Linked DNA regions of Lonchura striata. The protein of the gene in region 1 binds, or shares a complex with, the protein of each later gene. Links are inferred from orthologs where the notes say so. Each region holds a gene or a part of one and is shown in the gene's direction. Other genes may lie near its edges. The genes, in order: TRAPPC9 and TRAPPC12.

Region 1 (16,141 bases):
AGCAGGACCCTCCTGCTCTGCCTGCTCCCTACTGCAGGTCCACCCTCTACTCCTTCATTTCCGAGTCAGTGAAAATCTAAAAATGTGCAGAGATGGGGAATTTTTTTGGAGAACTGTTGAAGGAAGCTTCAAAGGCTGTGAAATTGAGCATTTATTGTCATGTTTTTAAGCTTAGGTGGGTCCTTTTCCAAGTTTGTTTTACAGCTTGCAAGGTAAAATAGTTTGCACTACTTTTGCAATAAACTCATGAAAAACCTAACAGGTTCTGTTCTGGTTTCTTACTGTATATATACAACTAATACTAAAGATTTAGCATAGTGTTTTTCACCTCAAAACATAAGACTTGTAACAAGCTCAAAATGCTGTAATTCCTGACAAAATAATGATGTGAATGATATTTTATAAAGTTATTTTGTATGGTGTCGATTTTGTTTTGCCTCATAGTATGTCAATAAAATAAAATTCCTCATCTTTACAAGGTATTGTTTGATGTCTTTTCATTTAATATTTGGCCATTTTTGCAATTATTTGTGCACAATGAGACTCTGCCAAAATCTCTCATCCATTGCTCTCCTTTCCATTTCTGCCCTTGTTTGTTTGGATGTTTCCCTGTGCTTCCACCCTCTCCGTGCCCAGCCAGAGACAATCCGTGCTGCTTTAACTGCTTACAAGTTATAATCCTGGAACTGTTTTTGGAAGATTAACATTTTGGAAACCACTTGCCTGAATTTTTTATTATTTTTTGAGTGAATCCCTACAGTGATTCATTTTTAAATGAAGAAAATGTAGCACCTGGTGGTAACTATAAAGCATCCAACAGAATTCCAAGGATGCCAAGGAGCTTCCTTTGGGAGCCCAACCCTACAAACACAGATTGGTTTTACTCAGTAATACAAAATACTGTCAGAGCTGTTTCTTCCTTTTATTTTTTCCCTCGTGTTTTGAAACACCACTTTGAATTGGATGAGATTTTGCTCTGTGTCAGGCTCTTGGAGAAAACAAAAAACCCTTCGCTGATTTGATGGCAACAAGCTTTGGCAGCTGCAGGGCCTCGGAGAGGGCTGTGGCAAATTTTGACAGCTCTGAAGTCCCCATTGAGGATTCTGGCTGAATGAATCCAGAAGGGTGTGCACATTCTTCTGGACTCAGGAATTCACAGGATATGTTCATGGTCCCACAGGAAACTTCTAAGAGGGATGAAAAGCAGTGATTTACACTTAGTAACCATAGTTCTTTTGTCATGTCCTTTGAGCAGCATTGGCTGGGGTGGGGAAGGGTCTCACAAGCTGGTGTTGTTGGGGGAAAAAGATAGAAACGTGTCTGTACTAATAATAATTAATCCAAAAGTGTCCCCTGGCCTGCGTTCCACTGCCTAAAATCCCGCAACACCTTAAACAGGTCAAGCAAGATACTTGGTCACTTTTGAGGAAGTTCCTTTTAAATGATGCAGACGCAAAGGGAAAATAGGATTAAAAAGCTCAAGGGTTGAGGTACAGACTCAAGGTCACTGAAAAGTTGCTGTGATGAGCAAAACAGATGTGACTGGAGGGAAAATTATATAATTTACTGACAAATTAGGTGGAATTAGGTGGTGAGAAGCCAAGTCAAAAATTAAAAAGTTTTCCAACCCTTTCCCAGTCCCTTCTCCCCTTCCCTCTCCTGCCTTCCCGCCCCAGGGTGCAGGGGTGGGGATGGGGCTGTGGTCAGAGCCCTGCCAAGGCTGTTTCAGGATGTTCCTCTCTCTGGTTGTGACCCATCCATGGTTCAGGTATTTGATTGTTGCCCCCATCCCTGTTTCTGCTAGAGAGTCACTGTGCAATTCTGTGGTGGTGGCTTTTTTTGCTTCACAAAAAATTGCCAGCCCCTCCCCTCAAACACCATTCCACACTGTTTTCCACACAGCTCCATGCACTTTTAATAATATTAAAAAAAAAAAAAAAAAAAAAAAAAAAGCAAAAAAGCACAAACCAGCTCTTGGAACAATAGTTTAGTTCTGCCTTTACCCATTTGGGAATTTCCCCAGGGATCCAGCCCCACTCAGCACTCACTGCAGAATTCATGGTACAGCATGATTTTCATTTATGGCAACTTCAGGAACATTTTTTACAGTGCAGCATCCTCTGATCTGTTAAAATAGCAGGAGCATTTCTGGTATGGCTCAGAAGCTCTGCCAGTCCCTGACCCTACCTGCCTAAGCTCCACTTGGCTTTCTAAGAACATGGAATGTGCTGGATTGTGGATATGCTGGAGCTCCCGGCTAAGTTTTAAAAGAAGCTGAGCATGGTTGTGCCTTCAACCCAAGAGCAGCTGTTCAGCTATTCACTTCTAGTAAGTCTTTACCATACCCTCCAAATTAGGGTGTTGCTTGAGACAAATTCCTGGCTGACTTGCTGCCCAACTTTTTTGGAATGGGAGGTTCTTATTACCTGTTAACATTCCTGTGCCTACCTGGGGCATTCTTCACCCCTGGGGACAGATCTTGGTCACTTTTCTCTCTCAGACATGGCCACACTGCCCGTGTGTGACTGAAACTGGAAAGAATTGCAGGAAGTTTCTGCATCCATTGTCAAGTTTTCATACAAAACATTTATTTGAAAAAGTTGCATGTAAAGTTCTACACAGGACGGTTGCCATTTCTGTAGTAAAAAAAAAGAAAAGCAAACCAAAACCACATAAAAAAATCATCTCTGTCATGCACATGGTAAAGGAGCTGCTCTTTCTCAAGAACCCACAATTAACAGACTTCAATGTGCATTTTGGCAAGAGAAACTGCAGAAGTGGAGTTCACTCAAGAAAAGGGTTCTGGATGCACATATGTACTTAATTTTCTACCCCATTTACCATCACAGCTACAGAACCACCATTAGCTCTTGGGATAGGATCTCCTCTCCCATTTGGGTGCCCAAATGGCTGTTTTTACAGACCTTTTTAATGCACTTGGTCCACTTTTGGAGCTTTTGAATTGAAAGCTGCCTGTAAGAAATTTTAAATTTGGGTAATGATTGTCAGACAAAGTAATTTCAAATCATCTGACCAAGCTCTGCTGGCAGGTTTGCAGTGTCTCTTCCTACCCCACCATGTTTCGGAGGGAAGAATTCCATTCTCCAACGAGTATAAAGTTCAATTTCTTAACTTCTTAAAGCAAAAGCAGATGGCTCAGTGTATAAATACATCCAGCATCTGGATTCTCAGTCACAAAAATAACATGCTTTATACAATAGAAAATGGATCAACTATGAAACAATTCTCCATTGGCCTTAAGATCCAACAGCAGCACCAACACCTTCATCTTCATCCTGTTCCTCCTCAGCCTCATCATCGTCTTCCCTCATTTCTCCATCTCGCTTCTCTTTTTCAAGCATTTTTAGGTATTTGCTAGCTAGGATCTTCTTTGGCAAGATATCTGAAAGGCAGAATTGTTGCTTTTTTAGTCAATTTGAATATGTGTATTGCCTCATGAATACTGTTCCATCAAAATCACTAAAGAAATTAAGACAAAAAGAAATATTAATACTTTTAACAAACCTTAGGTGAATAACCAGGTAAGTCAGCCTGACCCACACACTGTAAGCTGTAAGAGTAGGAGGGAGTTACCCACTTACAGTACAAGTAACCAAAGATAAGGACTCTATTTTGTGACTGATTACTGGCACCTTTTAGTGTCTGCTGATGTGAATTATTTGATGTAAAACAGAGCCCAACTGCCTTAGATCCAATAAGCCATTGATATAAAATCCAAGTATCAGTAAAAACGTGTCTGTGTGTGTATCTAGAAGCATAGAGGGACCAATATGATGAAGTTTCTTTTCTCAAAACTTATAGAATCCTATGTGTCATTTTTGTCCACATAACTCCTCACCTAAAGATGTGCAATGATCTTCTTTCACAAGCTGAAAGCTTTCAGATGGAACTGCTGGAATTTAGGAAATGCTTAAGGCAATATCCTGAGAACTGTATACAGTATGATTGTAATTTAGAGACAGCAGAAAAATCCCTATTCACAGAGAAATGTTTTTAGGAAAGTAGTGTTACAGTGCGCTTGGGCTATGCTTTTCCCCATTTCCAGGGACCCCTGTGACTCTGATCAGGTAAGTGTCCACTCCTTCCCGCCCTGACAGGGTTGGCTGAGAGGCAGAGAAGCCCTCCCTGCCCAGAGCCTAGATAAACCCATAACTCTGTTTGCTCGCTTTCCCCCTGGACCTCATGGAATAAAGAAGCTGGACACCACATCGGGGTGAGAGTCTCTTTTGAATCTTTGCCCATCTCCTGATGTTCCTCCCCTCAAGGCCTCGTATCTCTGGGCTAGCCTAATAAGTTGGGGCTGAGAGGGGCAGAAGCATCAAGTAGTTAACGAGTTCCAGTTGAATGCTAACCAAGAGATAAACGACCTGTAGGAGAACTGGGTCCTCACAAAACAGAGCATAAAGAGCAAGATTTCACTTTCCAAAGTAGACACAGGATTTACCCTTGTGTTATCAATACCTGCAAGGAACTGAAAGGTCTCACACTCTTCTGCTGTATGAGACAGGTCACTGTAAGTCAAAGCATTCTTCTCTTTCCCTCTGCCGTGTTTGTAGGAGTATGTAGCCAAATATTGAACAAAAAGCTCCTAAAAAATTAAAACAAAACTGCGTAGTCAGACTAAGTATGCACACATATCTTTGATTCCCGTCTACAGGCAGAAGCACCATATTTAACTTCACGTACACTGGGCACTCAGTGCACAGACTCATTACCTTTCAGTACCTGAAGGCAGTCTACAGGAAAGATGGAGAGAGAATATTTACAAGGGCATGTAGTGACAGGACAAGGGGGAATGGCATCAAACTGGCAGAAAGTAGGTTTAGATCAGTTAATAGGAAGAAATCCTTCCCTCTGAGGGTGCTGAGGCCCTGGCACAGGTTGCTCGGAGAAGCTGCGGCCGCCCCATCCCTGGAGCCGTCCAAGGCCAGGCTGGACGGAGCTCGGAGCACCCTGGGACAGTGTAAAGTGTCCCTGGCCGTGGCAGGGCTGTGAAATAGATGTTCTTTAAGGTTCCTTCGCACACAAGCCATTCTATGAGTCCAGACTCGGGCAGCTTGAGGCCAGCTCCGTCTCGGGCGCGGACAGAGAAGGGAAGCGGGAGCCGGGCCGCGGCAGCGCTCCGCAGCGGCGGCCCCGGCCGGGCACGGGGAGGCGCGGGGCCCGAGGGCAGGGCAGGGCGAGCGGTACCGTGGCCTTGGCGGTGAGGAACAGCGCGTCCTGGTTGATGCTGGAGACCTCCGGGGAGCTCTTCATGATGACGCGGATCCGCGACAGGGGCAGCGACACCAGACGGTTCTCGCTGCCGCTCAGCCGCGCCGCCGCCATCTCAGCCCGTCCCCGCGGCGGCGAGGGCGCGGCCCGCCGGGAGCTGTAGGCGGCGGAGCCGGGACTGCGGATCCCTGCAGCTCCGGGACTGCAGCTCCCTGCAGTTCCGGGACTACAGCTCCCTGCAGCTCCGGGACTACAGCTCCCTGCAGCTCCCTACAGCTCCCTACAGCTCCGGGACTGCAGCTCCCTGCAGCTCCGGGACTACAGATCCCTGCAGCACCGGGACTACAGATCCCTACAGCTCCGGGACTACAGATCCCTGCAGCATCGGGACTACAGCTCCCTGCAGCACCGGGACTACAGATCCCTGCAGCACCGGGACTACAGATCCCTACAGCTCCGGGACTACAGATCCCTGCAGCTCCCTACAGCTCCCTACAGCTCCGGGACTACAGCTCCCTGGAGCTACGGGACTACAGCTCCCTACAGCTCCCTACATCTCCCCGCAATACAGGGACCCTCCTCCAGCCGGGACTACAGCTCCCTACATCTCCCCGCAATACAGGGACCCTTCTCCAGCCGGGACTACAGCTCCCTACAGCTCCCTACATCTCCCGGCAATACAGGGACGCGCCCGCCGCAGCCCCCGGCTCCCCCGGCTCTCTCCTCCCCGCCGCGGGCGGACGGCGGCCCCGGGGGTGCCCGGGCGCGCTGAGGCTCCGGCGGCTGCGAGTCCCTTCATAGAATCACAGAATTAAGTAGGCTGGAAAAGGTCTCTGAGATCATCGAGTCCAACCTGTGACCGATCGCCAGGTGGTTGTAGAGTGATAAGGTCACACCCCCGAGCCTCCTTTTCTCCAGGCTCAACAGCCCCAGCTCGCTCGGCTGCTCCTCATCAGACTTGTGCTCCAGCCCCTTCAGCAGCTTTGTGTCCCATCTCTGGACCTGCTCCAGCACCTCAATGTCCTTCCTAAATTGATGGGCCCAGAACTGGACACAGCACTCGAGGTGTGGCCTCCCCAGTGCCCAGCACAGAGGGACAGTCACTGCCCTGGTCCTGCTGGCCACACTAGTGCTGACATGGAAAGCCAGGAGGCCACTGGGCTCCTTGCCAACCTGGGCACACCCTGGCTCACGTTCACCTGCTGTCAACCAGCACTTCCAGGTCCTTTTCCACCAGGTCATTTTGTGCTGAGCAGCTCCAGTGCTTTCCAGTCACTCTTCCCACCTGTGTGGATTCCTGCTGTCCCAGCACAGGCGGGAGCAGCCTTGGGGCTTCCCCTTCCTCACCTCTCACCGTGGCTCCTCAGCTCCAGGCTGGCACAGGAGGGTGGGGAGCTTGTTCTCAATGCCAACTGGGCATCTCGATCTGTGTGTATGCCAGGATTACAGGCCACTGCCTACAAAGTTGTTAACCCAAACTGCAATTACAGGCTGCTCAACACCTCTGCCGCTGTAGTACAGTCCCAGGGAATGTGTCTGGTCATCCTGACACTTGTCAGAGCTGGGGGGGAGGTGTGGAGGGTACGTGTAAACTATGAAGTGATGATGGGGCTGCTTGTAACATGCTTGTGGATGGGGTTTTGATGCTGGGAGTGTTTGCTCCAGAAGTTTGCCTGTGCCTGTTTGGGTAAGAGCTGCAGGTTGTGTGAGCGCTTCCAGAAGTAATGACACATCATTTGCATCAATTCATTAATGGTTTCAATCAAAAAGTTTCCAATATGCTTTATAAACATCATGCCTGATGGTTTGTATTGGTAAGAAATCTGCTAAGGCCACTAAACTATCTAAATATGAGAGAGAAAAGCAGGAGCTTTTTCAGAATACACAATAATAATTCACATGGAATTTAGGGGAGAAAGAACTGTACCCATGAAGAATCATTAAATGGAAAACACAGCAAATTTGTTGACTGAATGTCACTATCTGATACAGAATTTGCCCAGTACATAAGGCCAAGGCTATAGATTATCCTGATTTATTAATAAAATACAGCACCATGAGCAGCTGGAAGTACAAGGATAACAACAGTATGTGATAAATTTCAAAATTACTGTATTTGGGGACATAATTTATAGTTAGCTATTGCAGATAATCAGTATATTTTAGGCTGTATAATTCTCTTGAGATTACATCTTCTGTGAGGCCACTGTGTGTACGTTATATCTGAAAGGAAGCACAAATATCTTGGGATGCTGCCTGGATGTCTGGAAGGATTGGTTTCTTTCTCGATCCTTACTGTCTTGTGACATCTTGTGGAGACAGCTGACATTACTCCAGCAGTGAATTTTTAAAAAATACTACTGCAGCCTTTCATGAGAAAGAAATTTCAATATACAAATGAACCCTCATCAAACTACCAGGATTTCTGAGGGTATTGAGCTTGGTGGTGGGAAGGCACAGGTGAAGGAGCTCTGAGCTCCTCAGAGCCGTTCTTTCCCCCTCTGCCAGCTGAGAGCTTGGCCAGGTGTAGTTGCCTCTGTGAGTCTCTGTCTCCCAGAGAAGGGACAACGGGAGCAGGAGCTGCCCTGGCAGGAGAAGAGAGGCTGTGATTGACTGGGCTGAGCACTCCCCACCCCTCTCTGGCCCTAAGGCTGTGCTGCTCTTGGGCTTGGTCAGCTTCTGTCTGAGACTCTGAGGCCAGCTTGTACTGCCATCTCTCCAGCTCCTTTCCCTCTGGGAAATGTTGTCATTTTTTTGGAAGATAACCAAAGGTCAAGGCTAAAGCTTGTTCAGTTCCTTTTATGCTGTTATTTTTCTTCACAACTCCCAGACTGGGGAAACGCAAGAGAAGCAGAGAGACTTGCCAGGAGACCACATCTTGCGCCACAGTGGCTGAGGAGACCTGAAAAGAGGTTGTGGCCAGGTGAAGGTTAATCTCTTCTTCTAAGTAATAAGTGACAGTACAAGAGGAAATAGCTTCAAATGTGCCAGGGCAGGTTTAGATTGGATATTAAGAAAATTTTCTCCATCAAAAGGGTTGTCAAGCATTCATACCATCAGCCTAGGGAAGTGGTTGAATCACCATCCCATGAGGGATGTAAAAGCCATGTGGATGGGACTCTTAGGGACATGGTTTAGGGGTGGCCTTGGCAGTACTAGGTGTGACTTGATGATATTAAGGGTCTTTTCCAACCTAAATGATTTTATGATTCTACCTAAATGCAAATTTTTCAAACACTGTGAGTTCTGTTGAAGTTATTTGGTTGGCGTGCCACTGCTTTAAGTCATGACATGGCCCCTTATGAAAGGCTGCAATAAGGTGTTCATGGACCCTTCTCCAGGCTGAGCAACCCAAACTCTCTCAGGCTGATTCCACAGGAGGGGCACTTCAGCCTTCTGATTTCCATGGCTTCCTCTGGACCTGCTCCAAGAAATTTCTTGTGTGGGGATTCCAGACCTGGATGAAGCATTACAGGTGAGGTCTCACCAGAGTGGAGCAGAGGGGCAGAATCCCCTGCCTCACTGCTGCCCATGCTGTGGGATCAACCCAGGACATGTTTGGCTTTCTGGATGCAAGTGCACACACGGCCAGCTCATGTCCAGCCTCTCATCCACCAGCACCCCCAAGTCCTTCTTGGTGGGGCTGCTCTCAATCCACTTATTCCCTCCCCAGCCTGTATTGATACCAGGGTTTGGTCATCCAGGTGCAGCATCTTACACTTTGCCTCACTGAACATCATTAAGTTTCCCACATCCTCCACCAGAAATTCACCTGAACTCTCGTACAAGGCTTATAGTTCGGGAGTTTTTGTACTTCCAGAGTTTTCAGACTTTTGCCATTTAAGCTGCATGACTGAGAAATCCTCTCAGAGGAAGATCCCCCTCTACTCGAGGAGGCTCAGGGAGGACTTTGTCACTCTTTACAACTACCTCAAAGGAACTCGTAGAGAGCTGGGGCCAGCATCTTTTGCTGTGCCAAGGGGGTGAGGACCAGAGAAAATGGACTGCAGCTGAGAGAGGGGAGGTGCAGGTTAGACGTTAGAAAAAAAAGGTTTTTTTACTGTTCGGGTGGTCAGGCATTGGAATACACTGCCCAGGGTGGTGGTGGAATCACCATTCCTGTAAGGGTTTAAGAGGCATCTGAGTCTGGCAATGTGGTTTAGGGGTTACAGTGGCAGAGCTGGGCTGACAGCTGGACTGGATGATTCTATGACACCACACCAACTTCGGGATTTGGGAATGCCAGGAAGGCTCACTTCGTTCAAAGGGCCAGCTAGAGCCCTTCAGGTTTCCATACACAGTCGGCTGAAATTCACCAGGTGAATCAGTCACCCGTCCACTCCTGTTTTGCGTTCCTCGCGTTCACAGGCAGAGGCTTCCAGTCCCCGCGGAAGCCCCGGGGGCAGCACCGCGGACGGCAGCGGGGAACGGCCCCGCTCCCCTCAGGACTCCCCCGCCATGGCCCGCCGCGCATGCGGGGCGGAGCCGAGCGGCCATTGCCGTCAGTTCCGGCGGCGGCGGGGCGGCTCCGCTCCCGCTGTGGGTGCCGCTCCCCGCCCGGCAGCCGCGTCCCCCGTCCCGGCTGTGAGTGCCGCTTCCCCCTGTCCTAGAGCGGTTCCTGTCCCGGCTGTGAGTGCCCCCTCCCCGGTTACCGCCAGCCCCCGCTGCCCACATAGCGCCTCCTGCCCGGGCTGTCAGTGCCCCTTCCCCGGTTACCTCCGGCAGCCGCTGCCCCAGAGCCGCTGCCCCTGACGGCCTCAGCGGGGTGTGCGCCTCTGCCGCGCCTCCGCTCCGCTTCGCTCTGCTGCAGTTCATTTTCCCTGCTGGACTTGGCCCAAAGTGCCGTATGCCCGGGGACGGGGAAAGGGGGGAGCTCCCACCCGCTGCGGCCTCTGCTGGGGGAGGTGTCAGGACGGTGCTGCTGCCCCGGGAATGGGGCTGCAGCCCGGGAATGGGGCTGCACCTCGGGAATGGGGCTGCACCTTGGGAATGGGGCTGCAGCCCGGGAATGGGGCTGCACCTTGGGAATGGGGCGGTACCTTGGGAATGGGGCTGCACCTTGGGAATGGGGCTGCACCTCGGGAATGGGGCTGCAGCCCGGGAATGGGGCTGCACCTCGGGAATGGGGCTGCAGCCCGGGAATGGGGCTGCACCTTGGGAATGGGGCTGCACCTTGGGAATGGGGCTGCGCCTTGGGAATGGGGCTGCAGCTCGGGAATGGGGCTGCGCCTTGGGAATGGGGCTGCACCTCGGGAATGGGGCTGCAGCCCGGGAATGGGGCTGCAGGGCAGAGCCGGGCAGTGCGGTGGGAAAAGGGAGCTACGGTCCATAGTTCTGAGGAGCCCGTTTCCTCAAGCATCTATTCCTCTGTCTCATGTGTCCCCATGGACTCGGGACTCGTCGTTCTGCTTGTAAAACCAATGGTGTCAAGTCTAAAGATGGGCTGCGTTTGTTTTTTTTTTTTTTTTTTTTTTTTTTTTTTTTCTTTTGTCTGTGTGTTTGTTTTTGTGAAGGTTTGGGGTATTGTTTATGTTTTTTTTGGTGGTATTTACGGTTCAGGGCTTTGGAGCTGGAGTTCACGACGAAGGGGATCTCTGGTGTCCCGGAGGTCTCAGACATGAAAGGACTCGGGGGATGTGCATCTTCATTCAAGGCTCAGCTGCAGTAATCGATTTTAGAGAGCTCAGGAGAAAAGGGATTCTAAATACTTAAATGTAAAGGCAGAAAACAATGCCTGATCCTTTCCTATGTGTGTTTTGATAAAGCAAGACTTTGCTTTTCCTCAAAAATAGGTGTTCTGGTCCTAATTTTTCTCTGTTTGGCCATGTGTGAGTACTGACAGCTGTGTAAAGTTTGGTGATCCTGATTTGGTGCCTGTTTACATCTCACCTCATGCAATTTTGGATATTTCACCAAGAAAATGGGACTGAAGAGCCTGAGTCTGATAGGCTCTCCTGAACTGGTATTTCTGCCCAGTTGCTGTGGTAGAGACTTGTGTGAGCTGGCTTGTGTAGCTGCACAGGGAGTGAGATTCACTTGGAAAGCACTTATTTACAGATTTTTGTTTGAAAAGTGACTAAAAGTTCTCCTTGTGTACAGTGTAACGTCAGGAGGTTGCATGGTTGAAGATTTAGTAAAATAATGAAACAAACAGTGATACCGTAACACATAAATTCAGGCTGCAGAAGTGTTTAGCATCAAAGCCCTGGTTTGATTCAACAACCCTGTGTACTTCTGAAGGTTAAATAATAATATGCGTTTTTCTTTCACTAGCCTGCAGTTGATGCAAAATGAGTGTTCCTGACTACATGCAGTGTGCTGAGGATCATCAGACCCTCCTGGTCGTCGTTCAGCCCATTGGCATTGTACCTGAAGAGAGCTTTTTCAGGATCTACAAGCGGATTTCAGCCGTGAGCCAGGTTAACGTGCGCGACTCGCAGCGAGTGCTCTACATCCGATACAGGCACCATTATCCCCCAGAGAACAACGAGTGGGGGGATTTTCAGACACACCGCAAAGTCGTGGGGCTGATCACTATCACAGAGTGCTCTTCAGCAAAGGAATGGCCTCAGACTTTTGAAAAATTCCATCTTCAGAAGGAAATGTATGGCTCTACTCTCTATGATTCCCGGCTGTTTGTCTTTGGGCTTCAAGGAGAGATTGCAGAGCAGCCCCGCACAGATGTGGCGTTTTATCCCAGTTATGATGAGTGTGACACTGTGGAGAAGAGAATAGAAGATTTTATTGAGTCTCTCTTCATAGTGCTGGAGTCCAAGCGTCTTGACAGAGCCACTGATAAGTCCGGAGACAAGATCCCCCTGCTCTGTGTTCCTTTTGAGAAGAAGGATTTTGTAGGTCTGGACACCGATAGTAGGTAAGCAGCTACTTTTGTCAGCTCTTAAAAAAACACATCTGTGACACTTGCCAGCCTTTAGGATAAGCCTATTAGAAAGGACAAGGTGAGCCTTGTTCCAACAGGGGTTGTGCTCTGATCTTTCTGTGTTTTCTTGCTGTAGTTTTAAGGAAATCTAACATGTAGTCTCACTGTAGTTGATGTTCTGAGCTTGTTTTTATATATACATTTAATTGATGAAGCTCATCAAATAGCAGGAAGAAGTCACAGGAGTGGTTTGACAGGTTCTGCTGTAATAAGACTTTTTGCTGGAAGACTTCCAATGTTTTACAGATATACTGTATTAATAAAAAAAATCAGCATCAATGAAACTATTTTTATGTAATGTTGAGTAGTATTTGACTAATCATACTTACTGTATTTTTTCCCTTTAAACCTCTGTCTACTTTTTCATTCTATGAGATAGTGCCTGTTTATTTTGATGACAAAGTCCAGCATCTTTCCCTGTCCTTCTTTGTTTTATGTAATTATTTGTTATTGCTTTTTACCTGTCTTGTTTTGCTACCTGTTTGGTTTTTCGTAGGTTAGAGTTTTAGCCCCCCATTTTTCTTCCTCCTCATTTGCATACTCATCTGTCAGATTTGAGTGTTGCATAGTTCCTGTGCAAGGGATAAGTAATTCTGGCTTGATAGCTACAGGCAGGTGCAAAATCTGTTTGACTCTGCTGTTTGCAGTCAAATCCATGGGATGGAAGCATCCACCTTTTGTCCTGGCAGAGGTGGGGAAGTCCAAAGAAAACTCACACTATGTGTGTAAATAGTGGTGTTCATATTTGTGTTGTACTGTAGGGATGCCAGCAGAGGTTTCTACTGTGTGTAAAAGCTCAGAGGAGTCCAGGCAATTTTGTGAAGGTTTTAGATCAAATTAATCAGCTCTGCCTCTGTAGTTGGTCCTGCCTTGGAAACAGGAAGAAAGAATTCCAGCTAATTAGTTTGAAGTCTTTTGTTAAATTCCCTGTGGTGGCTTGAAGGACCATCAGTACCCCAGTGCCCTGCACCTCTTTGATGAGCACTTGAACTGGCAGTGACTTGTTGGTTCCTGTTTGTCCCTGAACTGTTATTCAGTTATCAATATGAATTACTGTGTTATTACTTTTTGCTTGTGGGTGGCAAAGTTGAGAAGACTGGACAAGCCTTTTTACAATCTTGTCTTTTACTCAGTTTGAAAGAAATTTGGCTGAACGTAATCAAATTTTCCTCTTCCAGATAGGTAGAAAATTATAATTGTTGGCCAAGAATCTCCAAATCAAAATGAATTCTGCTGTTCAGTTGTGTCTTATAAAAAATTGCGTTTTGGAAATTGCTTTCTTAGATGAATGAATTACTTCTGAGCAATGGCTGTGTTGTTACTAGTGGGAAATACTCCTTGTGAAGTTCTGAGCTGGTGGGGAGCTGGAGTGACAGCAGAATGTGTGCCCACACATCTCCAAGCAGGTGTTTGAAAGAGATTCCGTGTGGTGCTTTAGCTCTTTGCAGAATGGAAGGTGTGTGACCCTGTGTGTAGACACAGGGGTTTATCCAGAGTTAATCACTGGCTCAGCTCTGCACACACCCTTGCTGGGAGGTTTGAATATCAAACAGATTTTCAGTAGGTCTGGATCAATGGATGTACTTGAAATGTTTGCTGCACCAAACTGCTCAAGGAGAAGGTGTTAAATATTCTAATTTTTCAGTTCCATAGTAAGAAAGTTCTTCAGTTCTATTTTGCTGTGGAGTTAGTACTTCTGATTGTTATAATACTTAGGATTTATACGTTAAAACTTCAGAAAGCTAAATGAAAATATATTTCCAGCATCTCTGCACAGGAGCCTTTCTAGGTACCTTTAATGTAGCCTGATGCATCTCTGCCCTCTGTTCTAAAGCAGAAGCTCAAGTCCATTAAATAAGGTTGAACTCGGATCAGTTTACTAAACTAACTTAGACTTTCAAGCCAAAGCCTTTGGATGTGAGCTGGTGATAATAACATTCCATTTTATTATTTGTGAGTTTTTTGGTGCTTGGTTTGCAATTCACAGGATTTTATTTTAGCACATTCCCTTCTGTAGTGACAGATTGAATAATTAAGGGAAGGCACTCCATGCCAGGGAGAAACAGGGCTAGGAAGGACCTTCCTCAGTAGAGACCAGTTTCTGTTTTTGCAGGATTGGATGTGTAATGTTGTTCAGGGAGGGCTCAAGGTTGTTTGAATGCAGGAAGTGGGTACATCTGGTAGAACAGCTTTTGCTACTTTGTTTTGAGTCTGTCAGCATCATGATTTTACAGAAAGAAATAAAAACATGATGATACTTAGATATTGAGGCAAATGAAACAGCTTTTTCTAGAACAGATGGAAATTTCTAAAGGGTTAAAGGCAAAGAAAGTCCCTTGATCTTTTCTATATACTTTCTGTCTATTTGCAAATTTTGTATATCATGTACCCTGACATCCTAGTCAGTGTGTAATCAATTATTTAAAACCACAAATGTTCTCTATTAAATAGATGGCGGAGAAGACACACTCTGTTCTTGTAACAGAGGGTGTGTCTCTGCTGCTGTAGTTGTGGATACCTACTTAGGATAAATAAACATGTCTTTTCCTCTATCTTCTAAAATTGAAGTTAAATGGCAGTGTGTAGCAAAAGTATAATTAAATGTGTGGTGCAACTGTAACCTGGAGCTATTGGGATGATAGATTGAGGGAAAATATGTTAAGAATTTACATGCACTACATAATTCTGATCACTTGATTTGGAGACTAATTAAAACTATTGAACATAATTTGTATCTTAAAAGATGCTCTTCAAGTATTTTATGGTCAAATATTAACGTTAATACTTATGTGATGATCAGAGCTTTATATATAAACCTGATCATCTCCCTCACTCAGTTAGAAGACTTTCATTAGCTTGGATGCATGATAATTGCCATGGAAGTAAACTGATTGGCTTCTTTTAAGATGCAAAGTTCGTAAATTAGGAAGAGGAGTTATTATTTCAAATAGGGTAATTAATGGGAAAAGTGAGGATGATCTTTGTCTTTTGCAGGTTATTTGTGTAATGAGCAGGAGAAGCACATTCCCAGAGCTGACTGAGATGACAACATACACAAACTCACTGAAGTTTGTGTGCAGAAGAACTTTTTTTAGCTGGTAGAAAACTATATGTTTGAAACATAATGGGTTATGTCCTAAAATGAAAAGTTGTCCTGTTAAAGGGACATTGTAGGACTGAGAGGCTTGGTTTGATTCCTGGAGCATTCAGCCAAAAGAGATTTTGGCAAATTGATTTATTTTTTCTTTCTGTTTCTTCAGCTGTAAATTGGATAAAATATTTATGTGGTCACAGGACTGCTGAGGATAGTTGAAAAAGTTTCTGAAATCAGTTGCACTTGATAGTTACTTTTAGAGGGTGTGAGATTGATGGAGAACGATGGAAGCACATGTTCTCATGATGATAAAAACGTCCTACAAACTAAAAACTAGGAAACATCTGTGCCAGAAATACTGAAAATCCCATTTATTTTAAGTTTTCTATTTTATTTCTGTTTTCAGCTAAAAATAAACATACTTAGGTGTGATTGTAAATCTACTTGGATAAGCTCATTTTAATGTTGTTTACATCAGTTTGTGTCTTAGGTTCTTTCTTTTTCAATACTGGCATCATTTAATGCTGTGGAGGGATGAGGCTGTAGGGCCCTTTTTATAGATGTGTCATAGCTGGGATTTGTGCACTGATTTATCAAAGTTGATGATCTCAGTATGTGTATGTGGCTGTTAATTTTCTTTCTGTTCTCTGTCCTTCTAATTTCTGTTTTGTTCCTTTCTGTTTTTTCCCCCCCCTTCTTCTCTCATACTGCCCTGTGAGTTTGTTGTTGGGTCTAAAAAGGTAGGATGTGATTGTGTATCTTTGAAAATAGTTAGCTTTTTTCCCATGTCCTGCCTCTTCACTTCGCCTTCATTGCATATTCTAGTGTTGCTTTTTATTTTTATTTTTTCACCACACACAAAAATAATTGCT
Region 2 (15,999 bases), on another chromosome or scaffold:
TGTTCTGAAGTGGATTCACTGGAACCAGCCATGTCTGGCACAGGCAACCCTTGGCCTCTTCTCAGAGGCCACCACTGCAGCTCTCCTGCTACCCAAGCCTTGCCACCTGCACTCAGTACAACCTGCTAACCCTTTCAGCCTCAAAAACTTGTTTCAGTATGATTTCTACTGGAATTCAGTCACAAAAATTAAATTTGCTGTAAAATTACAACTTATACACTTAACCTCAGAAGAAATGGCCTAACAGAAACTGAGCCATGAAAGTCACTCAAATTTTAGTTTGAATTGTCTGAATGATGAGAAAGGACATAGCTGATTTCCAGTAATGAATATTGAAAAATCCAGTTTATGAAGCATCATGTACACTGAACTGTGCATGTATCAGGAGTCCCATTAGAAGCAATTAAGGCTTAAAGACTTTTGCTTTACTTTGCATCTCTTCAGGGATTTAAAGATAGCTCCAGAGCATCTATATATTCTAATTAACAAAAATATGGCAGTTTTTTTACTAAACCAATCTGAGTTAGTCATACAATTTAGAAGAGAGATATGATTTTCGGAAAATACACAAAGCTTTCATTCACCTCCCTTTCCTACCAGTGTCATTACATTCTACCCACAGAATCCTTGAACTTGACTATCAATGCTCATGCTCAAGAGGGGGAGAAAGGAAAAGAGATGATATTGGAAAAATGTTACAAAAAGTGGTAAAAATTACAACTGACATTTGATGGAAAAATTACCTGATTATCATATCTAAGAGACTGTGTTCCAACCAAAAATCTTATTGCATCTGTTTCTGCTGTCTGAGGTGTTAAAGCTCGTGCCTAGGGAAGAAGAAAGCCATTAGAAAAGTACAATTAATAAAATCCATTAATTTCAGCAAAAATCTTGAAACTTGTATATCAATTGTCATTTTAAGCATTACATTCTTACAAACGGCAGATTTTCTTGGCCTTTATCCCCATTTTGCTTAATACATTTTTTTGTGCAATTTCTCATACTTGTGAGGATTGAGGAATACAGGTGCTAAATACATTACCTGATCTTCATTAGAACAGGGATGACATTAAATGCAGCATCTCTCCCAAACTATTTTCCTTTATCATCTGAAAAAACTCCACAGAGCAGTGGACAATATTTAACTATTGTTAAAAAAACAGCATGGTATCCAAGGAAGAGGCAAGAGTTTTCACACCACTCAGGTTGAGTATGCCTGTATAAAAATTAATTTTTTTCTCATCATTAGCCACCAATTTTAGAACCAAATTAAAAACCAAGCCTCCTTTTTTCTGCTGCAGCCCATTAGAGATAAGAAGTGTCTGAATCATGAGAGTTTTTTTTTTAATTTTATCTTTAAAACTTTTGTCACAATGTTATTTCTTTGTTATGTTAATGGCATTGCTAGAGTCTGCCTTGCTTCTTCAAGTTACACCAACCACAGTCTTGGAAGAAGCAAAACCAAGCAGTTAAGGGCCATGGGAGACACTGATAAATAAAGCACAGCTTGAACTAAAGCCACAATCACTAGGTTTGCACTAGTCATTAGTAGAGACTCTCAGATAATTTTGAGTAAATGGAAGGTAAATGAATACTTAAAGGCATTTTTAGCAACTATATATTGTGAGGAATAGCTGCTGTTTCTCCATGCAAGAGATACCTTAATAATATTGTTTAATATTATTTATTTAATCTAAAAATAAATCTCTGCAATTCACATCCTATTTGGCATAGCTGAGATCTCTCCAGACACTAAGGCAGTATTTCAAGCCAATACCGATGAAGGATTCAGGTGACTGCTGAATGGCCCTTCTCACTGCCATCCTGTTGTGCAGCTTGTTACCCTTGGATTCAGGAAGACTTCAATATCATTCTATTTAAAACTTATTTTCAAATTACTATTTAGAAGATGTCTAAAAGCTTGGAAGGGAATATCTGGAATATATTAATCCCAATATCCAAACTTAGAGCAATTTAATTCTAGAAAAGCAACTTAAAGATATTTGACTTTTCTGAAATAAAGCAAAGCCATGCAAGGCATTGTCCGGCAATAGCAGTAAAGAAAAATTAATTTTTCTGAATCATCTCTGGACTTGTATAGAGCAGATACTTCCTTCCTAGAATCTGAAATGTGCAACTTAAACAGTGTAATATTTTGTGTAAGATAGAGCATAAAAAGTTTAAAAATGCCACAAGCTCCTAAGTAACAAGCTACTAACCTATACCTACATTTATAATATCTATGTAGTGGGGGAAAACACTCATGCAGATCAAAGATCAGTGGGAATCCATACCAATATGCTTTACTTTCTTATTTATGCAGCACTAATCTACAAGTCTAGAGTGCTCCTGATTGACAGACACAACTTTAGTCCATCAAGATGATTGCAGAAAAGCTTTTGTCTTTAACAGAATTTACATTTGCAGATCTTTGCAAGCATTTATTTTCATTTGCAAGCATTCATTCATTAAAATACCTGCTTTGAATTATTTTGAGAAAACACTAGAAATGAGCCAACATCTATGTATCTTCTTCAATCAAAGAAGCTTCTGTTGTTTTTATACATCAAAGAGAAGTAGAGACCTCCAGGATCTTTAATAAAATAAAGAAATAAAAGAGGTTTCCAGCCCTTTCAAAGCTTTTCAAGTAGGTCTGGCTGTTTTCAAAACTGCATAAAGTTGGACACAAAGTGCCCAAAATAAAATTATGTAAATACATAGCAACATTTATATCATCAGCTTTTCTAACTCTTCCTTAAAATAATTTTCCATTTTTCAGAAAGAAAAAAAAAAAAGGGCATAAGAAAAAAAATATTTAGACACATTTCATAAGAAGAAACATTATTATTTATTCCCTGACAAAATAAACCCTGCAACATCCATACACCAGACACAGAATTCAAACTCATGAAGCCTTCATAAATTAGGAAGACTCCTATTCATAATATCAATATTAGCACAATAGATTTCCATGTGTCACAAAAATGTGTGGTTTTGTCTACTCTGAGTTACTTTGAGAGAAAAAGAAGTTCTTTCAACAGCTGAAGACACCGAGTAATCCTTGTAATGAACAATACAGCTGAATCTGGAGTGCTTTCAAGATCAAGGAAAGTGCCTTAACTCTGTCATCTTGCCAGAGCAAGTTGCAAATAGAACCTTTCATAAAGCATCCTGCCTTATGACTACAGCTCATAGATAGAAAATAAGCAAAAAAGTATAGTAAAATGAATATTGATTAATCTAAACCAGTGGAAATTATTATTTTTCTAAGTCTGCACCTACAGAACACAGAACTGCATATAGCCCAAAAAGACTTTAATACCAGGCTTATGTGGAAAGGGATTTTCCACAATGGCACATAGTGATGGGATAAGGGAGAATGGCCTTAAGCTGAAGCAAGGCAGGTTTAGATTGGATATTAAAAAAAAAAAAAAATTATTACTGTGAGAATGGTAAGGCACTGAACAGATTGACCAGAGAGGTTGTGGACTCCCCATCCCTGGAGTTCAAGACCCAGCTGGACTGAGCTCTGAATAACCTGGTCTAGTTGAAGGTGCCCCTGCCCATGGCTGAGAGAGGAACTGGAGGATCTTTAAGGTCTGTTCTAACCCAAACCACTTTAGGATTCTACCCAAGATATTAAAGTATTACTTACTAAAAAACTGGCATAATGCTTAGAAAGTAACCAGAATACACATCTGAAAGACATAAGCAGCAAGTTAACAAGTAATCTTTACACATGCTCTCAACATCCCACCTAACTGATAGTGCTAGACAATGCAACAATCTATGCAATTACACCATTTCTTTTTTAAAGAAGGCCTAACTCTAGGAAAAAAATACTAGCAAGCAAAGTTTGAAACATTGTGAACCACAAAAAAAATTTTGGCTACATGTCCAAATTTCAGATTTATCAACAGCCCTATGAGGAAATGTGCATAGTTTAAAGCAAGAGTTTTACAAAACAGGACAACAACTGAACTGCAAATCCACTACAGTAAATACATATGCAAAGGACATTTAAAACCCTAGAACACAAGCACGACAGACAGCTGTATCAAAGCAAAAGAAACAATGATCATTGTAGCAGAATGCAGGTAAGACTGACTGGAGACTGGGCATCATGTCTATGCCTACACTATGCTCAGTGTGATGCTGGGCACAGATCACCTTCTACCTTGCCCTTGACAATTTAGGCCACCTGCAGAAAAATAAAAACCTTGGATAAAAAGAAATAGATTAGAGTCTATTGTACTTGACAGCATCAAGAGATGATCCAGAAGAACACAATGACAAACCTCAAAAGGGGTAAAGAAGGTTGGTTTAAACTAAGTGCATTATGGAACTGCAATGCATTGATTCTCTACACGTTGTTCATAATTTCTTCTTAAAAACTTTCACTCCTCAACATCTTTTGAAATACCAGCCAAATGCACAAAGTCGTGGTTTGGTTTCTTGTTTGTTTTGTTAATTTGACTGTTACTATTTAGCGCATTAATAGACAAACAAAAAAGTACTTGTTCAACAAATGTTTTTGTGCTGATGCATTGCACTGATTTGTTATTAACAAACAAGAAAACAAACAGACCTCAACATTTGAATATTTGTATTATATTTAATATAAGGAAAAAATATTCTTCAAACCAGGCATCATTTGAAATTCATACAATCAATTTGTACTACCAAATTGTGAACTTAAAATGCAAAACGTAAGGATACAGTATTTGGCTTGCAATCCCTAAATCTGAATTTAAAGTTATTTGACCATCTGCTTATGCTGAAAACCAGGACTAGTGTACTGCTACTTGGGGTGAGGAGCTGGATTTGCTGATGCCTCATTCTGGAGGCAGAATACAAATTCTCTGCTCCTCTAGACAAGCCCCAGTCTGCTAATGTCATGAATGTTATTTTTGCCTTCTGGCACAATTTCAATTTTCAAGTACTCTTTGATTTTTACATAGGTAAGACAGCCTTGTTTCTCCCACCACAGTAGGAGGCTCTCTCAGTGACTCTAATAAGCTGCAGTGACTATCAGTGAAAAGGTTGGCAGCACACATGCCCAGGTTACCTTCAATGCTCTCAGACAGCTGTTTTCCTGAAGTCTTTCACAGCACAAGAATTCCCACTACCAACATATTTAGTGCATTGACCCTATTCTAAAGCTTGACAGAATCTGTAAACCCTAATAGCGATGAATGCAATCCATACACAAACACCTGCACAGCACAGTCATCCTAAGAAAACTCATTCACTTCTCATGAACAATCATCATGTAAAAGTTCCTTCAAGTTCACCTCACTGTATCTTTATATTGTCATTTTTCTGTACCACACCTAACACTAGGAAGATCCTACTAATTGCTTAAGGGTCCTAAAAATACTTTCCAACTGTTTCACCTCATGCATTATGAAGATCTTTGGGGGATTAGTAAAGAGAGCTTTGCCACTTTAGCTACTTTTGTTCCTCTAGTAACACTTTAAACCACAAAGGCTTAAAATATACAGGAATGGCACTCATGAGGCAAGTAATCTTAGAGAAGAAAGAGAATTGAAAGAAAAGCTAGGAATTTTAGTAAGACATTATTAGGCAGTTTCTTAAACTGATTCAATTTTCAAAGTCTTCCAAAGACATTGCTAAAACTGGACCAAAGTAATTAAGTACATTCTGCTTAGGCTGTTCTCTCTGAGCCCACAGGAGAACACAAAAGCTTCCCCCAGGGAAGAGAACACCACCGCCCATAGGAGCTATAGGCTCTGCACTCCCATACTGGGAACAGAGCCAAGCCTGAAAGCCAGGACAGCTTTCCCTGGGGAGCTCACAAGCAACACACATTTTCCAGGGAAGACCCCTTTTACCACTTCTAGTAAATCTACACCTGGCTTTTACTCCATCACAGGTAAATCAGCTGAGCTAGTCTCAATACATACTGATGACAGTAGGTGTACACACATTGGTCACGCGTCTTCCACAGTCTATTTCAGTTGGTATTTTGCTTTAAGTTTCTTACTCTAAGAAAACACATTTGGCTTTAGGGAAATTAAGTTTCATCTTATTCTTGCAAGCAGGCAAGTTCTAAAAAATCAAGTGTCTATTCAGATTCATAAAACCTGTTAACATATAATAGACAACACAAAATGGGCCAAGTATCACTTATTCAAGAAGCACAACGATCACAATGCAGAACACTAACTCTATCAAAGCATCAGCACACTTTTTTCAAGCCTGCTTCAGGGTGCTGCTGGAGCTGCCCATGGGCACTATGGCCCTGTACTCAGCCAGGAAGCTTTCTGTGGTCCTTGCCTCCTGCTCACTGTCCTTTTTCCTCACATGTCTATTTACTTTTGCCATGCAACATACAGTAGGAGTATCCAGCATGCTGAAATTCAGCTCAGTGTTGTGGTGTCCCCAAAACTCATTAAATGTGCTAAACACGTGCTCCAAAATGATCACTCTCTGGCATAAGTTATGTTCCTCTTCCTCATCTCATAATGCTGGCTGGCTTCTGCATGCTTTTAAACAAGCCAGATGTAGGCTTGAGCCAAATGCCTATCCCAGAAAGCACCTCTTCCCACTGCTCATTTCCAGGGATATAAATGTTATCTAGTCAATCCTAAACTAAGGCAAACATGGTATTTTGAGAGCTTCAGTGGTGCTTTCACACCTGTTCAAAACATCACTGTTTAAACCCTCAGGAAAAAACATGGGGAAAATTGTGACTCCCTGAAAATGAAAGCCAATTCAACATGGGGTAGACATACCATGTATTTCAGGTTAGAGAATAAAGCCCAGGTCAACTCTACATGGGACAAGAACAACATCACTTCACTGACAAAATACAGCACGCAGCAATATTCCTGGGACTTCATTCATTACATTCTTATCATTGAGGATATTGATTATTTCTACTAAGATTCCTTTTAGAAGGACCACCTTGGTATTGAAATGTTCTGCAGCTGCTGCTGTTGCTTGGTATTCACCATCATGAGCCACAGTCACATCACTCAGTACCTCAATTCAAGCAGTATCTCACATTTTCATTCACCACCCACCGTAATCTTCTCATTTTCACTGCAGTCGGACAAGCAGAGCAACCATGGTGAGATTGTCTTTTTAAAAGTCACAAAAAGTGTCATTCACACATCATTTGCATGTCTGTACAATGTTCATATTATGTACAGACACACCCAAGAGATTAAAAAAAGAGAAAAATGTATTTGGTCATTATTCTAAGTTACCTTATATATGTCAATACATCAGAACATTCTGTACATCAAAATGAACAGAAACCATGCAGAAATAATGTTAATTGGTGGATAGTGCCTAGGAAGAATCAGCTCTATGTTCCTATAAAACATGGTCACTTAAATCAGATAAAAAGCACATTTACACAATTACACTTTCTCCAGTGGCCAAAGATGGACTTTTACTGACTGCTAGAGCCCAAATATAAGAAGCAAAGCCAACATTTTCAAAACTTGGCTGAAAAATTAGTCTGAAGAGATGCTTTCAGACTAAAAGCAATAATTGAGATGATACAGCTAACCATTATTATCTAGTGACACAGAAGAAATTATGATTAAAAATAATCATCTTTCTTGTTAGACCTTGAGATGGAAGTTGGAAAACCAGATCAGTTTTAGGTTACAGTTTCTATATTAGTGTCTCCATTTTCAAAAAGTACAGAGATGCAGTTTGTTTTAAAGACACACGGGGAGTTAATGGAGATCAGCAACAGAGCCTTCATCTCTACGCTCCCCTTCTGACTTACACATAAATCATCTCTTCTTTCCTCACCCTCTCCCTAAGTGATCTGTATTAACAGTAATTTCCTTTTATTACAGCCACTTTATTTATGCATTTGCTTTATCCTCCTGCCAGACAACTCCAACAAGTTACATACTTCACAGGAGAGAAGAAGTGTGTAGCAGATATATGGTATGGGAGGGAGCAGGATACACAGGTCCATGGAGGTCCCAGACAACACACACTAGTTTTCCCAAATTCCTGGAAGATAGATTATATGTGACTTACTAGAAATGAGATATGAATTTTATTAAGTACAGGATATATATTCTCTTCTGCAAAAGAGATTTAAGTATAAGTTTCATTAATTTTGAAGTACAAGTTACAGCCATCTCAAGCCAAACACATAATGCAATCATATACAAAATTTACTAATGAAGTCTATTAGTATAGTCAGAACTACAGAGCACACTATTCAGTACACTGGACATTTGTTACAAAGAACCTGTGTATGTTACTTTTCACAAATACTTTAGCAAAGGTGCCAAAAGAAAAAAAAAAAGTGCACGTGTAGATACTTCTGTTACTACATCTACTGTAGAACGAACTGCTTTGTTAGAAGGTGCTGGTTTTTTTCTCAGGTATTACTGCTAGAATGGCTAGTAATGATAAGCCAGCCACAACACATAACAGCTAAATAATGCCCTTGGGCAAAGGAGGAGTGAATTAGGGTCCCTCTCACTCTGCTTTCCCAGAACTTACAGAATCCTCATTAAACACAACACCTGTGTTCCTCTAAGAAGAGGATCAGTAAGTTTCTGAGTTAGACAGTTCCATTTCCTTACAGCCATAAAATACAGATGTGATGAACAGATTTGTCACATGGGACAAATGCACATATACGCATAGTACAGGGAGGGCCCATAAATTTCACACAGATTTATGGTAGGGTATAACCAACTAAAATTTGCAACTTACTAGAAACAAGTTTCGTGTTTTCCTTCAGAAAAGCAATTTTTAATTTTTTTTTCTGACAAGGCAGAATCAGGGATTTCTTGAACAGTGCTTTGGCACCAGTGCAGAGCCAGGCAAAGCCTTTTGCAGAGGCGGAGTGGGAGCGCTGCCCGGGCAGGAGCCCCGGCACCGCGGGGAGAAGGAGCCTGGCCGGGCCCTGCCCGCCCTGAGAACAGCGCTTGAGGCGGAACGACTCCCGCCCGCCGGCCAGCCACCCTCAACACCCAACGCGGCCGCCAAACGCCACCAAAAGCCACCAAAAGCCACCAAACGCCACCGCAGCCCGGCGGTGCCCGTGGCGCCCCGGTCCCCGCTCGGGGAGCAGGGAGGACGCCGGTCCCCCGGGCGGGCTCTCCTCTGCCCCTCTACACACACCCGGCGCCGCCGCCAGCGCCTTCTCGAAGGCAGCACCGGTACCTGCCAACCTTCCCTAAACCTCCCTCTCGCTCACCTGGAACTCCAGCCCGTAAATCACCGGCGCGTCGTCCTCCATCGCGACGCCCCCAGCCCAGCCAGGCACCCGCCGTCGCGGCCGCTGCTTTCTGACCCTCGGCGCGGCCCGTCGCCGGCCGCTTCCGCAGCTGCGCTGGCGCGGCCCCGCCCGGCCCGGCCCGAGCGCAGGCGCAGTGCGGGCGGAGCGGCGCCGGACGCGGCGGCGGCGCGGAGGTGACGGGACGGGACGAAATAGAATGGAATAGAGTGGAATGGAATAGAATTAAACGGAGCGGCCGCGCGGCCTGAGGGGCGTCCGGGTGGGCGGGTGCTCACGGGGCTGTGCCAGGAGGAGGCCGTGAGGGAGGCCGGGCTCGCCCCCGCCGCGGGTGTCCGGGCCGGGGCTGCGGGGGCTTGGCCGGCCCGTGCCCGGCAGCTGCGCTGCTGGCCGCCGTCAGCCCACGCTTCGCCTGGCTGGGAGCGGGACCGAGCGGTCCTTGCCGCCGGGAAGGCAAGTGTTGAGTCACTGGAACAGGTTGCCCGGGGAAGCTGGGGAGGTCCCAAACCTGGAGGAGTTTAAGGCCAGGTGGGATGGGGCTCTGAGCAACCTGGTCTAATGGAAGGTGTCCCTACCCATGGTAGGGGGTTTGGAATCAGATGATCTTGTAAGGTCTCCTTCCAAACCATTCTCTGGTACCATTCTATGATACTGTTTCAAGTGGGAGGCATTTGGTCTTCAATCTCAATAGTTTTACGACTTGTAGAAAAGATAAAGAGAAAATATTTTCAGGATTGATTCTGTGATTAAACGTTAAATGAAAAATGTCAAAGGGGAGATGTGAAATAGTGAAATTACTGTTTTTTAAAGCAAGAATTTCACTATTTGTATGGTACTTAGGAGTTTTGCTGTGACACCTGAACAATATGCAAGCAATAAAACTAATTCTTATTTGGTGGTGTCTTCTCCTTTTTCAGTTACTATGGAGAATAATGAAAGCAATGCTAAGGATGCAAAGAGCACCTCAGGTGAAGATGACAGCAGAGACATAGTTCAGCAGAAAACTCAGGATGAAGTTCTCTTTCATGAGGAAACCATTGATCTTGGTGGTGATGAATTTGAGTCTGAAGGAAATGAAACTATATCAGAGGATTCAAATAATTTTGTAGATAAACTTAATGAACAAATGATGGAGAGTGTCATTATTTCAGATTCCCCAAACAACAGTGAAGATGACACAGGTGAACTTGGTTGTCTTCAGGAAATAGTAGACCAAATGGAAAATAAAGATAATCAAAAAACACAAACAGAAGTGGATAAAGAAGAGTTTTTAAGTAATGAGAGTGAAACAGAACATGAAGAAACTCCTAAAGACATTTCTGAGATTGGAATGGATGATCAGGCATCTTTAAAGGAAGACTCAATTCAGGAAGTAGTCAAGGAGGAACCAAAGTTGGGAAACAACGTTCCTGTAGAAACAAAACCAAATAATGATGAGAGCACACCTGAAGACCAAATGTTGTCACCCAGTACTACCAAACCATCTTCTGAGGCTGAGCCCATTCCCGTGTGCACCATCTTCAGCCAAGCAAACAATGCTAGTTCCCAGCCACAGTTGTTCCTACCTGATGGTTTTGAGCCTCAGATGGTGAAATCTCCCAGCTTTAGTAGTATAATAGAGACTCCAGTGAAGTATAATCCACAGGTGGTTCAACCCAGTCCTAGTCTAAGCAAGTTCTTTGGTGACACTGTTAACACTAATACTTTAGCCTCTGATTTTTTTGATTCATTTACAACATCCAATTTTATTTCTGTTAGTAATCCCAGTGCAAGCTCTTCAGTTCCAGAACAAATGTCCTCTCTTTCTAATGGTGGAGATGGTTCTTCATCTAACCCTACTTTCCCTGTGCAAAATGGGAGACCTGAAACAGGTGGTCCCCCATCATCTCTAGAAATAACTCAATCCCCCAAGCCATTCTCACAAATCCAAGCTGTTTTTGCTGGGAGTGATGACCCATTTGCCACAGCCTTAAATATGAGTGAACTAGATAGAAGAAATGATGCTTGGATTCCTAGCGAGGAGACAAAAAATGTTCTCATTTCAGTTGCCACACAACAATACAGCACCGTGTTCATAGACAAGGAGAATCTCACCATGCCTGGATTAAAATTTGATAATATCCAGGTAAGAGTATATTACTGTATCTTCCTCTGTGATTATATTTTAAAAATAGTGTAGAAGATCTGTCCAATAATCTGTATGTCATAGTACTTCATATTGTTGCTGATGTATGTATTACTTCAATTCTAATTAGAAAATGCAGTATCACTGCTGCCTTGTACAGGAAGAGGCTAAATCCAGATCTCATTTATTCATCATGACATTGTGCATTGAAAACAAGTGTTGACAGTTTCTGTAGAAACCAAAGCTGTTTGTATTTTAAAGTACTTTATTTCTGGTCCTCTGAGTAAGATAATACATTTGGAATATATACACATCTCTAAGCTGTGCTAAAGTGTCTAAGCAGACAGCTTTGTGGAATTCCCTGTTGTGATTGAGTGGGAAATAATTTCACTCATGTTCACAGTGGTCTGAACAATGTTGACACTGACTGAAATGGCATCATTTCTATCTTCCCTAAGCAATGGAAATGTATAACCTCTAAGAAAGATTGAGTGCTGCAGCAAGCTGCTAGGAAGGGATAACCCCAAAATTAAAAGAAAAAAGACTAGAGGAGATGACAAAGCAAACAATATAGTAGTGAAAAGTAATTTTTTGTCTTCTGTCAATTTCTAACAGATGAGAAGGCATAAAGCATTTTTTTTTCAGAATATGGGAAATTTTACTCACACATATCCAGGATTTCTCAGTAGTTTTATCTTGGCTGCTCAGCCAGGCTAACCATCATGATGTTTTGGTTTTTTTCTTGAAACGGGCTAATCCTACTCTTTGGTATCTATGCCTCTGGATAATAGAATTGTTGTGTAGATAGATGGTGTTTAGAGTTTGGATGCTTTAATCCTTAATTATGCATAACAAAGACCATCAGTCAATAGTCATATACAAGCAGAGAGCAGTCTGCAATAACTTGATAATCTGTAGTAGCTATCAGAAGAGTTTCTGGGGTGAATCAGGTCCAGACTTATAGATGAATTATTCGAAAAATCTTGGGTTTCTGTCACAAGCAATAAATACCAGACATACTCCACACTGCTGCTGCCTCTTGGGTTTGCTTTATCTTAAAACATAAGCTTGCTATCACAGAGCCAGATAATTAGCGTGAAACAAAACACTGTAAGAGGAAGCTAGCTATTCCTCCTCCAGTTGTACCCAAAATATCTATTAGACCTTGATGAGTTATTCCAGTGTGTACTCTTTCTCTCCTGACAGCTAATCAGACAGATGGAGTGATCCCTTCTCCAGTCTCCAAGGATGATGGCCTCCTTTTTGCAAGCTTCCTTTTTTACAATAGTTCTCTTTCACCTTCCTCAGCGCAGTCAGGGATTAAAGGCTTGTTTCTGCTATTTATTTCCTAAATCTGGGCAAGTGCAAAGATGCAGATCTACCATTTAGTATATAATTGAAGGGAGGATGTTTGACAATGTCCGTATGATGTATTTCTATGAAGACTGATGTAAAATCATCAGTGCAATTAAAGGAAATCCTAATGCTTTCTTCATTGTTTAAGAATTATAAGAGTTTTCTAGACATGTTCACAGGGACAAGTTCTGAAGTGCTTTATGTTTAGAAAACTTTCCTCACTTTCAGTTACTGCTTTTTTGTGGTCTGAGTGCACGCCTTGACTGATTTGACATCTCCTAGTTTGGTATCATTGTTCCATAGTATTGCAAATTGTGCATTTAACTGTAACTGTAATTGTAGAGTGCTTGAAGTGTCAACTGAAATATTGTGGGAGGTATATTTTCAATGTTAAAAGTAACTTCCAACAAGGGTCATTACAGCTTTGGTAATAATAGTTTGCTAATGATGAATGTTAATGCAAGATGTTAAACGAAGCTACATGCAGTGGACAGAGAGGTTGGTTGAAAATGCATTTGCAGTGAGTGAACCTTAAGTGTGCTTCAGGGAAGGACTGAAATTTCACATTATATGCATTGATGAGCTTGGGACTTTATTTTTTGCCCTGCTTGCTCAGAAAATGTATTGTAAGACAAGTCTTACGTAGATAAATCACACCAAGAAAAATACGGAATGATTTTTATTTCAGCTGCATGTTACCTTTTGACAATCATTTAAAAAAGCATTGTTTTTTAAACTTACATTGGGTTGTGTATGGTAAAGATTGTCTGTAGCAGTGCTCTCAAAGTGACAGAAAAATCTGCTGCTTTTTATAGTCTTTCCATTACACCTTTTTTCATGAGTTCCTCTCTTCTGTCAGTGTCCTTTGTTTCATTACATTCATTTTTACTGTTTCCTACACCAAAGGACAGTTGGATCAAAAGTACTGTTAGGGGGATTTAAAAAATCTTCTGTATTTATGTCATTTTGCTCACACTCTCTTTTCTTAATTCTTTGGGCTCTTCTGTCAGGCAGATCAGTTGTTTATTTGTAGGATAAGTGACATCGAGGTAAAAAATTTCCATGTAGTGAAACAGTTGTTCTCATTCCTTAAGAAGCTAGACAGAAAACACAAATGTATTTCCCATCACTGTCCATGGAGAAAGTTGAAACACTTAATATCAATTGTCTTTGTCATAGCTAAGCTCTGCTGTTATTATATGCAGTTCAGTCTCTTTAGGCAGCTATTGAGCTCATATAACCCAGTTTCTCTGACTGATGACTGCAGCTAGTTCTTTTGAAATTTGAAACACTTGTTGAAGGGTTGCTGTTTACTTTGGTTTATGATCTCTCAAAGTTTATTTTTGGTGGATATTTAAGGCTCACTTACTGTGTGTGCATGTTTATTTTGATCAATAGATTGCACCTTTCAATGTTAACATACATTACAAAAAATTTCTGGTTTTTATAAGATCTTTGAGGAATATTTTATTTTTAAGATTTGTGAATCATCTTATAAATGATCTTCTACAATAGTAGAAGAAGCAAATGAACCTGAATGTGTCAGTGCTAACTGAAACCTATCCATGGAAGAAAAAATATAGCAAATTATATAGAGTAAATGTAGAAGTTTTCATTCCAATGCTGTATATACACATGCAGTTATATTTATTACACATGTAACATAACATTTTATTTTGCTGAAATAATGTTTTAAATAGTCTTGTTATCTGTTTTCTTTTTCTGTTCCATGAACACCAAGGGAGATGCAGTAAAAGACCTAATGCTTCGCTTCTTGGGGGAACAGGCTGCAGTGAAGAGACAAGTTTTAAATGCCAACTCTGTAGAGCAGTCATTTGTAGGCTTGAAACAGCTAATTGTAAGTAACAATCATCATATAATATATATTTAATATATATTTAATATTGTTTCTCTCAAGATAATTGGGAGCTACTGACTGAGGAGAAACTGGGAAAAAACCTGTGTATTAGTCTGTTCCTGACCCTTCAATAGTACTAACCAAACTACAATAGCCTTTAATGGGAATGATGCTGGGGTTTAACTATTTGGGTTTAAATCACATAGTAAACATTTTTTTACATGCAAAAGTTACAAAAATTAATTTTAAGTGACTGTGAGTTTTTATGTAATGGTTACAAAACAGATTTTAATCATGTTTTTGTTAACCTGTGTATGTGCTTAAGTTTTCACCTGAATGTTGTACAAAAAGACATACAAGTTGCAAATGGCAAGCCAAACTGATATGATAATTTCAACTGTCTGATCTTTTACTTCAGTGCAGAAAACTAAAGCAAATTACTTCCAGAAGAAAGCTGAACTTAATCCTTTCAATAATGTAAATATTTCTGTTCTGAAAATAGTTGTCTAGCAGCCTTGTAAATCTTGCCTTGTTCCTTTAAGAACTGTGTAAAATTCATTACTATTATATGACTGAGCCTTAATCTGATGACATAACAAGATGGTTTGGATTTACTTTATTTCTTAAAAAATGGATGAAAAATTACTAAAGAAAAGTAGTGAGGAATTATCAGGACAAGACTTTATTTAATATTTAACATCTTCTAATTTGATTGTGTGACTTTACATGTAATGCTCCAAAAGAGATAACCTTTTTTGTCATGTTAGGAGTAGTCTAGGGGGTCTCAGCAAACACTGTTAAAAGGAATTCAGAGGTAATTTTAGAAACTAAATATGAAAAAACAGATTGTGATCTCCACCCTAGACACGTGTTTTTCTGGTTTTTCTGTTTTACTTGACACGTTTTTCAGTGTTTTACTTGACTTGGGAGGGGAAAATAATCTTATGCAAAAGTCTTTTACACATCAGTGTCTTAAGTAGGAAAAACTTTTTTTTCCATGCTTACTTTCCATCTTCTGGAAGAGAATTTTTGATGTGTGGGAAATGCCTTTCTATTTAGCCTGGTAGTGGTGTCTATGCGAGATGTTCTTCTATGCTGCAGACTGTCTTGTACCATAATTAATATGCTGCTGCAGACAACTGTTTTTGATTTGAGCCTGCTCTTAAGCATCAGAAGAGTAGTGTTAAAGCTTTAGACTCAAGGCAGTGAAGCTAAGAGGCAGTCTGCAGCTGTAGGATATTTTGTTACTTATGGCACTTACCCTTACTTATGTTTTGGTTTTTTTTTTTTTTTTAATTGCCTTATTTAGAACAGTGGGTTTTTTTTATAAAATAGAAACCATTCAGGTAGAACTTAGAATGTTCTTTGGTTTACAAGGCTTTCAGTCATTAGCTGTTGGCTGGTTTTGAGTAT

Evidence for each region.
Region 2: TRAPPC9 (region 1) and TRAPPC12 share a complex: the UniProt entries of both Homo sapiens proteins name them as parts of the multisubunit TRAPP (transport protein particle) complex. The link is inferred for Lonchura striata from reciprocal best matches to the Homo sapiens genes TRAPPC9 and TRAPPC12.

The regions. Positions count from the first base shown.
Region 1 is NC_134603.1:5,092,846-5,108,986, forward strand, and holds the start of TRAPPC9 (trafficking protein particle complex subunit 9), read left to right. Parts: upstream 1-9,730; 5' UTR 9,731-9,819; exon of another isoform or gene 9,820-9,864; intron 9,865-11,508; 5' UTR 11,509-11,525; coding exon 11,526-12,109; intron 12,110-16,141. Other genes in the region: CHRAC1 (chromatin accessibility complex protein 1), read right to left, coding at 3,258-3,403, 4,483-4,609, 5,212-5,349. UniProt on the Homo sapiens protein: Functions as an activator of NF-kappa-B through increased phosphorylation of the IKK complex. May function in neuronal cells differentiation. May play a role in vesicular transport from endoplasmic reticulum to Golgi.
Region 2 is NC_134605.1:96,160,815-96,176,813, forward strand, and holds the start of TRAPPC12 (trafficking protein particle complex subunit 12), read left to right. Parts: upstream 1-9,370; 5' UTR 9,371-9,423; intron 9,424-9,573; exon of another isoform or gene 9,574-9,700; intron 9,701-10,164; 5' UTR 10,165-10,169; coding exon 10,170-11,372; intron 11,373-14,469; coding exon 14,470-14,586; intron 14,587-15,999. Other genes in the region: EIPR1 (EARP and GARP complex-interacting protein 1), read right to left, coding at 744-827, 9,209-9,250. UniProt on the Homo sapiens protein: Component of the TRAPP complex, which is involved in endoplasmic reticulum to Golgi apparatus trafficking at a very early stage.